Linked DNA regions of Caenorhabditis elegans. The protein of the gene in region 2 purifies or fractionates together with the protein of the main gene of each other region. This does not show direct contact. Each region holds a gene or a part of one and is shown on either strand. Other genes may lie near its edges.

What was found.
Region 1: the proteins of dgn-1 (region 2) and F26F4.12 fractionate together in Caenorhabditis elegans (co-fractionation; one large-scale study listed by BioGRID). This does not show direct contact.

The regions. Positions count from the first base shown.
Region 1 is NC_003281.10:4,908,411-4,912,179, reverse strand, and holds F26F4.12 (ANK_REP_REGION domain-containing protein), read left to right. Parts: upstream 1-2,141; coding exon 2,142-2,228; intron 2,229-2,282; coding exon 2,283-2,477; intron 2,478-2,524; coding exon 2,525-2,828; intron 2,829-3,018; coding exon 3,019-3,128; 3' UTR 3,129-3,220; downstream 3,221-3,769. Other genes in the region: F26F4.2 (PDZ domain-containing protein), read right to left, coding at 232-465, 514-648, 696-800, 848-919; F26F4.9 (Glutaredoxin domain-containing protein), read left to right, coding at 13-173, 1,086-1,237, 1,282-1,423, 1,518-1,601; rom-1 (Rhomboid-related protein 1), read right to left, coding at 3,358-3,681, 3,732-3,769.
Region 2 is NC_003284.9:10,925,961-10,930,838, reverse strand, and holds the start of dgn-1 (Dystroglycan 1), read left to right. Parts: upstream 1-1,840; 5' UTR 1,841-1,943; intron 1,944-3,019; exon of another isoform or gene 3,020-3,224; intron 3,225-4,878.

The DNA.
Region 1 (3,769 bases), on a different chromosome or scaffold from region 2:
AAAACGTTTCAGATAGACAAGTTCAAGACAGAGAAGCCGATAAGATGCGATTGGCAAGACAGAAACAACAACGAGAGCACGACGAGAAAGAGAAAATTGAAACATCAAAACGTGAAGAGAAACTGAAAGAAGAAGCCGAAAAAAGGCAACGAGAATATGAAGAACAAGAAAAGGTAGTTACTTTAATCAAATACAAAATATTTATTGCCTCCAAATCGTACTCTTTTTCGCTCAAACAATTTTCTTCCATTTGTTGCCAATTTTGATGCGAGCTGGCACAAAATCGGGGCACTCGATCTCCAACTTCAATTTCTTCTTCTCCTCACGATCAGGAATTGTGACTTCAACATCCAACTCCAAAATCACTCCGTTGCACGAGACGATTGGCGAGACACGAACTTGATCAGTCAAGACCTTGCATTGGAGTTTCTTTGCCGCAGAAGCATTGGAACCGTTGCGAATTTCCTTCAAAAAACTATTATTATTTTGGGGACTTTTTTTGAAGAGCAATACCACAGTCTCCATTTGTTCCTTAGTCGAACTCATGCAACTGTACTCGGAAAGTTTCTTGCTCTTCGAAGATTTCTCAGATTTCTGCAGAGGCGGTGACAGAGACAATGGTCTTGGCTCATCATGGATCTGCATGCTCTAGAAATTTGCAATTTTATTAAAAATTGAGCCGGCATCTACTGAACCTTTGAAGCAATGACATCCCCAGTACTACGTCCGATGGTTCCATTCAACGGTTTGGTCACTTGCACTTCACAGCGGTCCCCTTTCTTTGGCAAAGCGAGCAAAATCTGAATGATTTAGAATGAAAGTCTGAAAATTTCATTGAAAAACATACCTTCTCGACTTCATTGATGGTATGAAGAGAAAGACCATTCAAATAACAGATCGTTGCATTTGCATCCGCCATCTTTGAAACTAAAATCCAAACTGATTTCAATCGAAGATTTTCATATTGAACAACAAAAAAAAACAAACACGCAGTTTGTAGAGCTTCACGGAACGAACTTTTTATTTATTTATTAATTCTTTTCTACTCTTTTTGAATTTTGAAATTAACAGAAATAAATTTTCAGACTTGTAACGTACTTGGCCACTCGTCATCAACATCGTCTGTATTAAAAACATCAATTATCAATAAAAACGAGAAAGCCATCAAAATTGTGGAGAATATTCCGGACTCAGCGCCAATTGTGGTTTTTGGAGAAAGCAACTGTCCAGAGTTTAGGTATAATGAAAGGCATTTTCAACAAAAAACATTAGGTTTTACAGAAAAGTTTGTCAATTGGTGTCAACATATCGACTCGATATCTCGAAATTTCAAGTTTTTGAGCATGATAAGCAGTCAGATTGGCCTGGTGAAGAAGTATTGAAAGTGATGGAAAATCGATTTAAAACCAAAAAATCCCCATATGTAAGTTTCATATTTTTCCGAACGCTTTTCTTAACGACAGTTTTTTATTAACCACAAAACTGAGATAAAGTAGTTATTTTTAAAAACGTTTCAGGTATTCGTGTGCGGAGAGTTTATTGGAGGCCTCGAAGGTATACGAAACTACGATAGAACACATGGTCTGGATAAAGTCAAATAAATTTTGGAGAGATGATATCTTGAGATCATGTAATTATTATTTATTCATGCCCCCTCGTTGCCAGCTCCTTTGTGATAACTAGATTAATAAAATACATTCCGTTATTCATTGTGTTTCTCTGTTTAATATATTTGTGTAAAATATACGCTTTTTGATATTTATATAGAATTTTAAAATATTAAAACTCAGTTTCAGATTACTCTTCTTCAGAAAATTCTAAACAGATGCGAAAAATAAACAATTTTCTATCAAGATTACGGTAGCCGGTCTCGACACGCTTTTTTTGTATGGCAACTTTAAAAAAGAGTACTGTAGCTTACACGCTTTGCTGCTGCACCATCTACTTATTTTCTCTTTTGGACTTGTACCAATTTATTTTGAAAGGTTACCAAGAGAAAACGATAAAAGAGGGCGTGGAACCTACAGTACTCCTCACAGGTTCAAACTCTTTTGTGGGCGTCTCGAGACCGGGTATCGTATTCTTGTTTCAAAAATACAAAATTTCACAGTTTTGTAATAGAAATTGAATGTTTTTGTCAGATGACAGATCAACACATGGCTGATCAAGATATCAACGATTTTGAAGCTCAGGCAAATGCGGAAGATGGTGTCAATCTGGGATTCACTGTGAGAAATCTTCTCAAAGTGCTCTCGTTTCAATTAATTGTTTCGATTTTGCAGAAAGAGTTGATCGATGAGATTCGGGATAAAAAAGAGAGCAATCCGGGAATGTTTGTATCGGCATGGCAAGATGATACAGAAGGACTTGAGGAGAAAAATATGGAAGATCCGATTGAAAAGTGGCTGACTGCTGCTGAAGATGGTGAGCTCGAATTGGTCAAGGTTCTATTGGAGGAGACACCGAATTTGCTGAATGTTAGTTTTATATAATTTTAAACTGTTCTAAACTATTTTAATTTCAGTCTCGAGATGCCGATGGATACACAGCTCTTCATCGTGCTTCATACAACAATCATTCACCAATAGTAGATCACCTTCTGTTATCTGGAGCCAATAAAGAGTCAAAAACGAATGAAGGATGGACTCCATTACTTTCAGCCAGTAATTGGGCGAATTTTGAAGTAGTTGGGCGTCTTTTGAGTCATGGATCCGATGTCAATGCTCTCTCCAATGGAAATTTGACAGCTCTTCACTTGGCAGTGAATAGTCGAAGTGAAGAACCAGAAAATGTGTACATGACTGTCAGATACCTCTTACAAGCTCCAGGTATAACACATTTTCAAAAAATATTTTTTTACCAAAAAAAATTAAAATTTATCAACGAAAACGTTTTAAAGATCACAAAAAAATACCGGGGAACTTATGATAAAATTCATACTAATTAGAGAACCAAATAAATTTATTCAAGATAGTTAATAAATTATGGAATACTCAAAAATAAATATTATTTCTACAGGAATCGACGCTGGAGTCATAGCTGGTAACGGAGATACCCCCTTGATGATGGCTCGGCGAACTTCTGAACAACTCTACAATGCAATTCGCGATTTTATGGAACGACCTTAAAGCTCTAACCTTACTGTGAACGAATCTCAATTTTTGGGTTTATGGAGGCGGTTGTTTATATTTTCCAATTTATTTAATTAAAACATGATCTGAAACGAGAATCTTCATCATTATCACAAAGTAAGCACAGAAAAGCCATCAAGGAATGTATGGCGGTAGTTCAAAACAAATACAAATAAAGCTAGAACCCGAGGAAAATGTCTATATAAAATTATAAAATTATTAAGTTCTATGAGCAATTTTCGTTGTTCCACAAATTTTTGGAATATGGCTGACGAACAATCACAAAAATAATAGTGGTTGCAAAAAATGCAGAGTATAGAAATAGGCAAACATATCGAATTATTTTCTCAATTCGATGTTCTACTACATTATAAAGTACTACATATCCAAAGAATAATCCAGTGACTGCTCCAGCAATATGGGCAAGATGTGACACAGAATCACAGTCATTTGTATAGAATCGACGATGAATGGCTCCACCGAAATCCAGAAAGATGAACACGAAGAGCACCAGGACTCGGATCCATCGTAGTGGCATTTCATGCCAATTCTATAGATATAGAGGTTTAATTTTATAATTTCTTTAAAAATTGGACTCACCAGAATAACATTTGCTACATGTGCGAAAATGAGAGCAT
Region 2 (4,878 bases):
GTCATTTTGCTTGCTTTTTGAATGCAATTGCAAGAAATATGAAACTATATCTTTGAACCACGCAATCTTTTTTTTTGTTTTGTTTCTGTTAATTGATGACCTTGAAGAAGTATAAGAATCTTTTTCAAAAGGTATTATTATGCAGTTATATCTAAACTGTAAATTTGAAAATTCAAAGTATCTCATATTCCTATATGTACCAGTAGTTTGTATTTTAAATTTCCAATTCAAAATTTTAATATGGAAATGATGTAAACACCATTCCGATTTTATTCCATTATTTTTCTCTCAATCTCTCACTCTTTTCAATTTTACTAGAAAACAGATTTTTATTCTTTCGAATAGAAAACCCTCTACCGTTCCTGACTCACCATTCTATCTCCTCACACACCACTTTCTACGACATTGCCTAACTTTTTGTGCGTTAAGTTTAATGTGCATTTGACCTTTATCAGTTACTCGTGTCCTCTTTCCTGTCTTGATATTTGATTTCAATCACCATCGAGTAATTAGTGTATTGGACACACATACCGAGAAACCACTAACAAGAAACGCCCTGATTTTATTTTTCCTTGAATAGCAGGACGGATCGTGTTAAATTCTAAATAACGTAGGACTGGAAAAATCACATTTTTATGACAACAGGGACTTTGTCGCAAAATTTAATTAGTTCTACATTTGGCCAGGACAATGATTACCGTGGCTTTATGATCAACAACATCTAGCGTGTCTTATCAAAAGCAAAAATTGTTGGAAATCCTAATTTTCTGTTTTGTTAGACTCTATTTTATTTCTTTTGAAAATCCATTACCGTTTTATGTTTTGAATAACTTCAAAATCAAACAAAACTACAGATTGATATTTGCAATCTAATATCTTCGTTTAAATTTCAACTTTTTTAAATGTGCTCTTCGAAATTAGTAAAAAATTTGTTTTATATATTTGCAAACTTCATATAGATATGAAAATATACATATGATAAAATGAAAATAGCTGTATTCCCTTGCCACGCATATAGACGGCGCATTCAAAAACTCATTGCACTCTGGTTTTTTTTTCAGAATTTTAATTACAATGGGGGTTATATTTCATGGGAAGAGCCTTTTTGAAACTCACCGCTTTTCTTCGCTCTATTGATATTTTTGATTTCCCTCTGCGTATGCAGAAAATAGTACAAACCACACTGACATTCATTGTAGTAACTCTAACTTTTATGCCCAAGAAAAGGCAAAAAAATGGTAAGAAAAACGTTTATGAAAGCTTTCTGTTTACCTACCTTGACCATTTTCTCTTTTTCCCCTATCCTCCAACGAGTGTACACACATTTTCGGGTATAATTCATCCGAATGGTTGGTGACAAGAAAAAAAAATGCTTCAAACTGTGTGCGTATGTTTTTCTTGTCAAAACCACATTCATAGTGTGTTATCAACAAGGAGGGATGCAACAAAAGAGAAAGCGAATTTTCCAGGTTGCATTCTTCATTTCGTACTTGCTATCTCTTTCCTCTGATAACCGTTTTTTCGGCAATTTCAATACCTCCTTGATTATATTTATGAGGTATGCAACTGACAGTGTTTCTTTTTCTCTTACGATATTTATTTTCACATCAAAACTATACACATTGCTAGCTTTTTTATTCTTTTTTGAAAAACCTATATTCATCAGATCTCAGAAGTTCCAATTTGAAAGTTTCTTCAATATGTACATTATCGTAAATTAGTCTGTCAACTGATACAAATCGCTTTTTGCCAAGTTTCAAAAGGACACCCCTTTTTGAAGTTTTCCGCTCCATTTCATGTCTTGAACGTATATGTTGCAAAAGTTACTTTCGATTTTCAGAACGACAACGTGTATTGAACCGAACTTGTGATTAGAATCGAAAACGAAATTTCAATTTGGCGCACCCATTTTTTAGTCCCGGCTTATTGATAAACACATAGAGGTGAGACTTTTTTTAATGCCAGTTTCGAACGCGTGCCCGGAAGTTTTTCGAGGCATTAAAAAAATTTTCCTATGTAACTAAACAATTCTTTTAGTCTTATAAAATGTTTTACTAAATCTCGTTTCCTGATATATGTAGTTTTGTACACAGAAAACGAGATGTTTTCTTTTGTATTTGCCTGAAAAACTTATTCTGCTTCTTGGCACAAATCCAAAAAAAGCGGCGTCATGTTTGTGCATTCAAAAACACTTCAAAGGTGTACGAAGCCACAAATGTTGTGACTACTCATATGTGTACAGAGATAGGTGTTTCAAAAAAAATTTTCGTACGACTTCAGAGTGACGTCCTTATTTTGAAACATTCACTTAACTCGAAAACATCCTGGTTTTTAGGTATTATATGAATTGTCTGCTAGTTTTTTTTTTTCGAAAAACCGAGTTTTTTCTCTAAATAACCTAAATCTTAACAAAAAATGTTGTTTTCCGTTCTTCACGTTTTTCGGTTTTTCAATTTTGCGGTGTGGGTCAAAAAGCCGAAAAACCCAAAAAATCGAAAAAAAATTAGGGTCCAGTTTGAAAAAGTGCAATTTATGTATGTTGTTTGTATGAAATAGGGCGTCATCAGTAATAAAAATATTGCATTCTGTATAAAAATACCGATTTTGGAGTGTTTTCAGAATTTGTTTTTGCAGTTTTCTCAAAAGCGAAAATTTCCGTTTTTCAGTTTTTTGAAGAACCAAAAAATCGAAAAAAGTTTTGGCGCACATAAAATGTTTTGTTATTCTCAAAAAATTTCGTCCCTACTAAATTTTACTCAACAATGTTCGTCTTCGCAATTCTCAAAAGAAACAAAGTGGCCCAAGATCTTACGTCAATCAAAACATTCAAAAGACTAGAATAAGAAGGCCCACTGTTTTTATAATCTTGTTTTTACACTCACTTAGCAAATCCGGCACTCTTTGTTCGGTTGCTAATAAGGTGTCAAAGTGACAATTGAAACCCCTCTGAACTGACTCAATAAAAGATAAGATGGAAAATAAATCGAATCTCCGTTTTCAATATGTTTCGGTCGGTTTCTTCTATTTATATGCAAAATTCATTCGAGACACCATACCAAAAGCTCCCGTGGGAGCTGGCCTTCTTATGTCGGTCGGTTCATGGTCCGTAGGGAGTGTCGGAAGGACGGAAGACCACGAAGGAAACGTCTTTGTTTGTACGGATCGCTTATTTATTATGCAGATTGAATATTGGCCACCGCTTCGTTCTTCATCTGTGTTCGGCTTTATTAGACTGCTCAAATGTTGCATGCCATTTTCCTCCTCCTCTCTCTTCGTAGCCGTAACGTATCGCATGTCCATTTCTGATTAGCTCTCGTCATCCGTTCTTCTTTCATCCTTATAAATATCACCATCCGTCTTGAATTGACCAAGAAAAATTGTAATTGTTCCAAACGGACCCGCATTGTACGTCTGAACACCCAGTCATTAGGCTTATCTTCCAATCGTTGCCTCCTCGTTTGCTCCATCCTGCACACACCTGGCCACAGGTACGGTGACGCAACTTTATGAGGTTGAGCCGACCAAATAGGACCATCTCCGTCCTTCCCCACATTTTTCGCCTCTCACTTTATATGTTTGGTCAACAGGGCTTGCCTCGTGCTTGACCCTACCCATACGCACAACTTTCTCTTTTTTGCTGAGGAAACTTTTTTGACGCGGGGTTTTTTACTCGAAATCTACGCTATCCAAATCTGATTTCTGTCCAAACGTCCTTGTCCATTCCTTGACTCTTCTCAATTTGATGATATGTGATGGAATCGTGCCCCCATTTGTGTGCCATCTCTTCAACGCAGGAGCTCTTTTATGTCGTTACAAGCATCTGCTTCAACGCGCGCAGCTGCACACAGTGCCATTTCTTGCCCTCGTTGTCGCGTCAAAAGTATTGCACAATACGGATAGATTACATAAGGAAATCTGTATTCAATCAGATGGTTTACGATCTGCCCGGTGGTGAATAGATATTTTCAACAGCTTATGAGAAAATCGGCTCCAAATTAATATGAATACGGTCACATTGAATAACTGAATTTATGATCTAACATTTTGAATTAACTAAATTTGCACTTCTCTGATTATGCTTATATAGTTTAAAGATTTTACCGCAACATTACAAACTTTTAATCCTCTAGTCTGATAATGATTTATGTCCGCTTCATTGTGAGCGACCAAAAAACTTTAGCTTGTTCACAGGAGTGTGCTTCAGGAATTTTTCAATTAATCTCTTGTGATATCACTTTCTTTTTTTTTGCTCTTACACCAAATATTTTTTTGGAAAAATTGTCAAAATTGACTTAATGGAAGCTGGTGGCTGAAAAATATTTGAGGAATGATTCATGATTTACCGTTTCATTTTTTTATTAAAAAACAAAAGTCTAATACTTTTGGTTCCTGTCAACATGGGGATCCGGACAATGAGAATGAGACGAACGCGCTGACTACTAGCAGTCGAAGTACGAAACCAGAACAATAGGCGTGTTAGTCTCAGTTTTAGCAGTACGTTTTGTCTCCGGTGTTCCCGTGTTAGAAGTGTATACAATTACCCTTTGCACAGTGGCTGTCGATTCAAGCAATTCGAGAACGTTAAGCCAGGTAATCCATGCCTAATAGATGGCAAACGGCACCCATCATCATCCTCATCGTTCATTTAATTAGCACGTTCGTTTCATCTTCAATACGTTCCTCACTGGACGTTAATCCAACCAATTTCGCGCACGGAAAGGTGTCAGAACAATGAACTGAGACGATCATTTCTCACTGGGTTTTTGTGTGTTCTTTTTGTGAAATAAGGTAATCCTCAGTCACAGGTTGTCAACGGAGCACTAGTGTCAGTCAAATGTACACCTGCTCTCATTTTTCTCTTTCTTGTGTCACCATCTC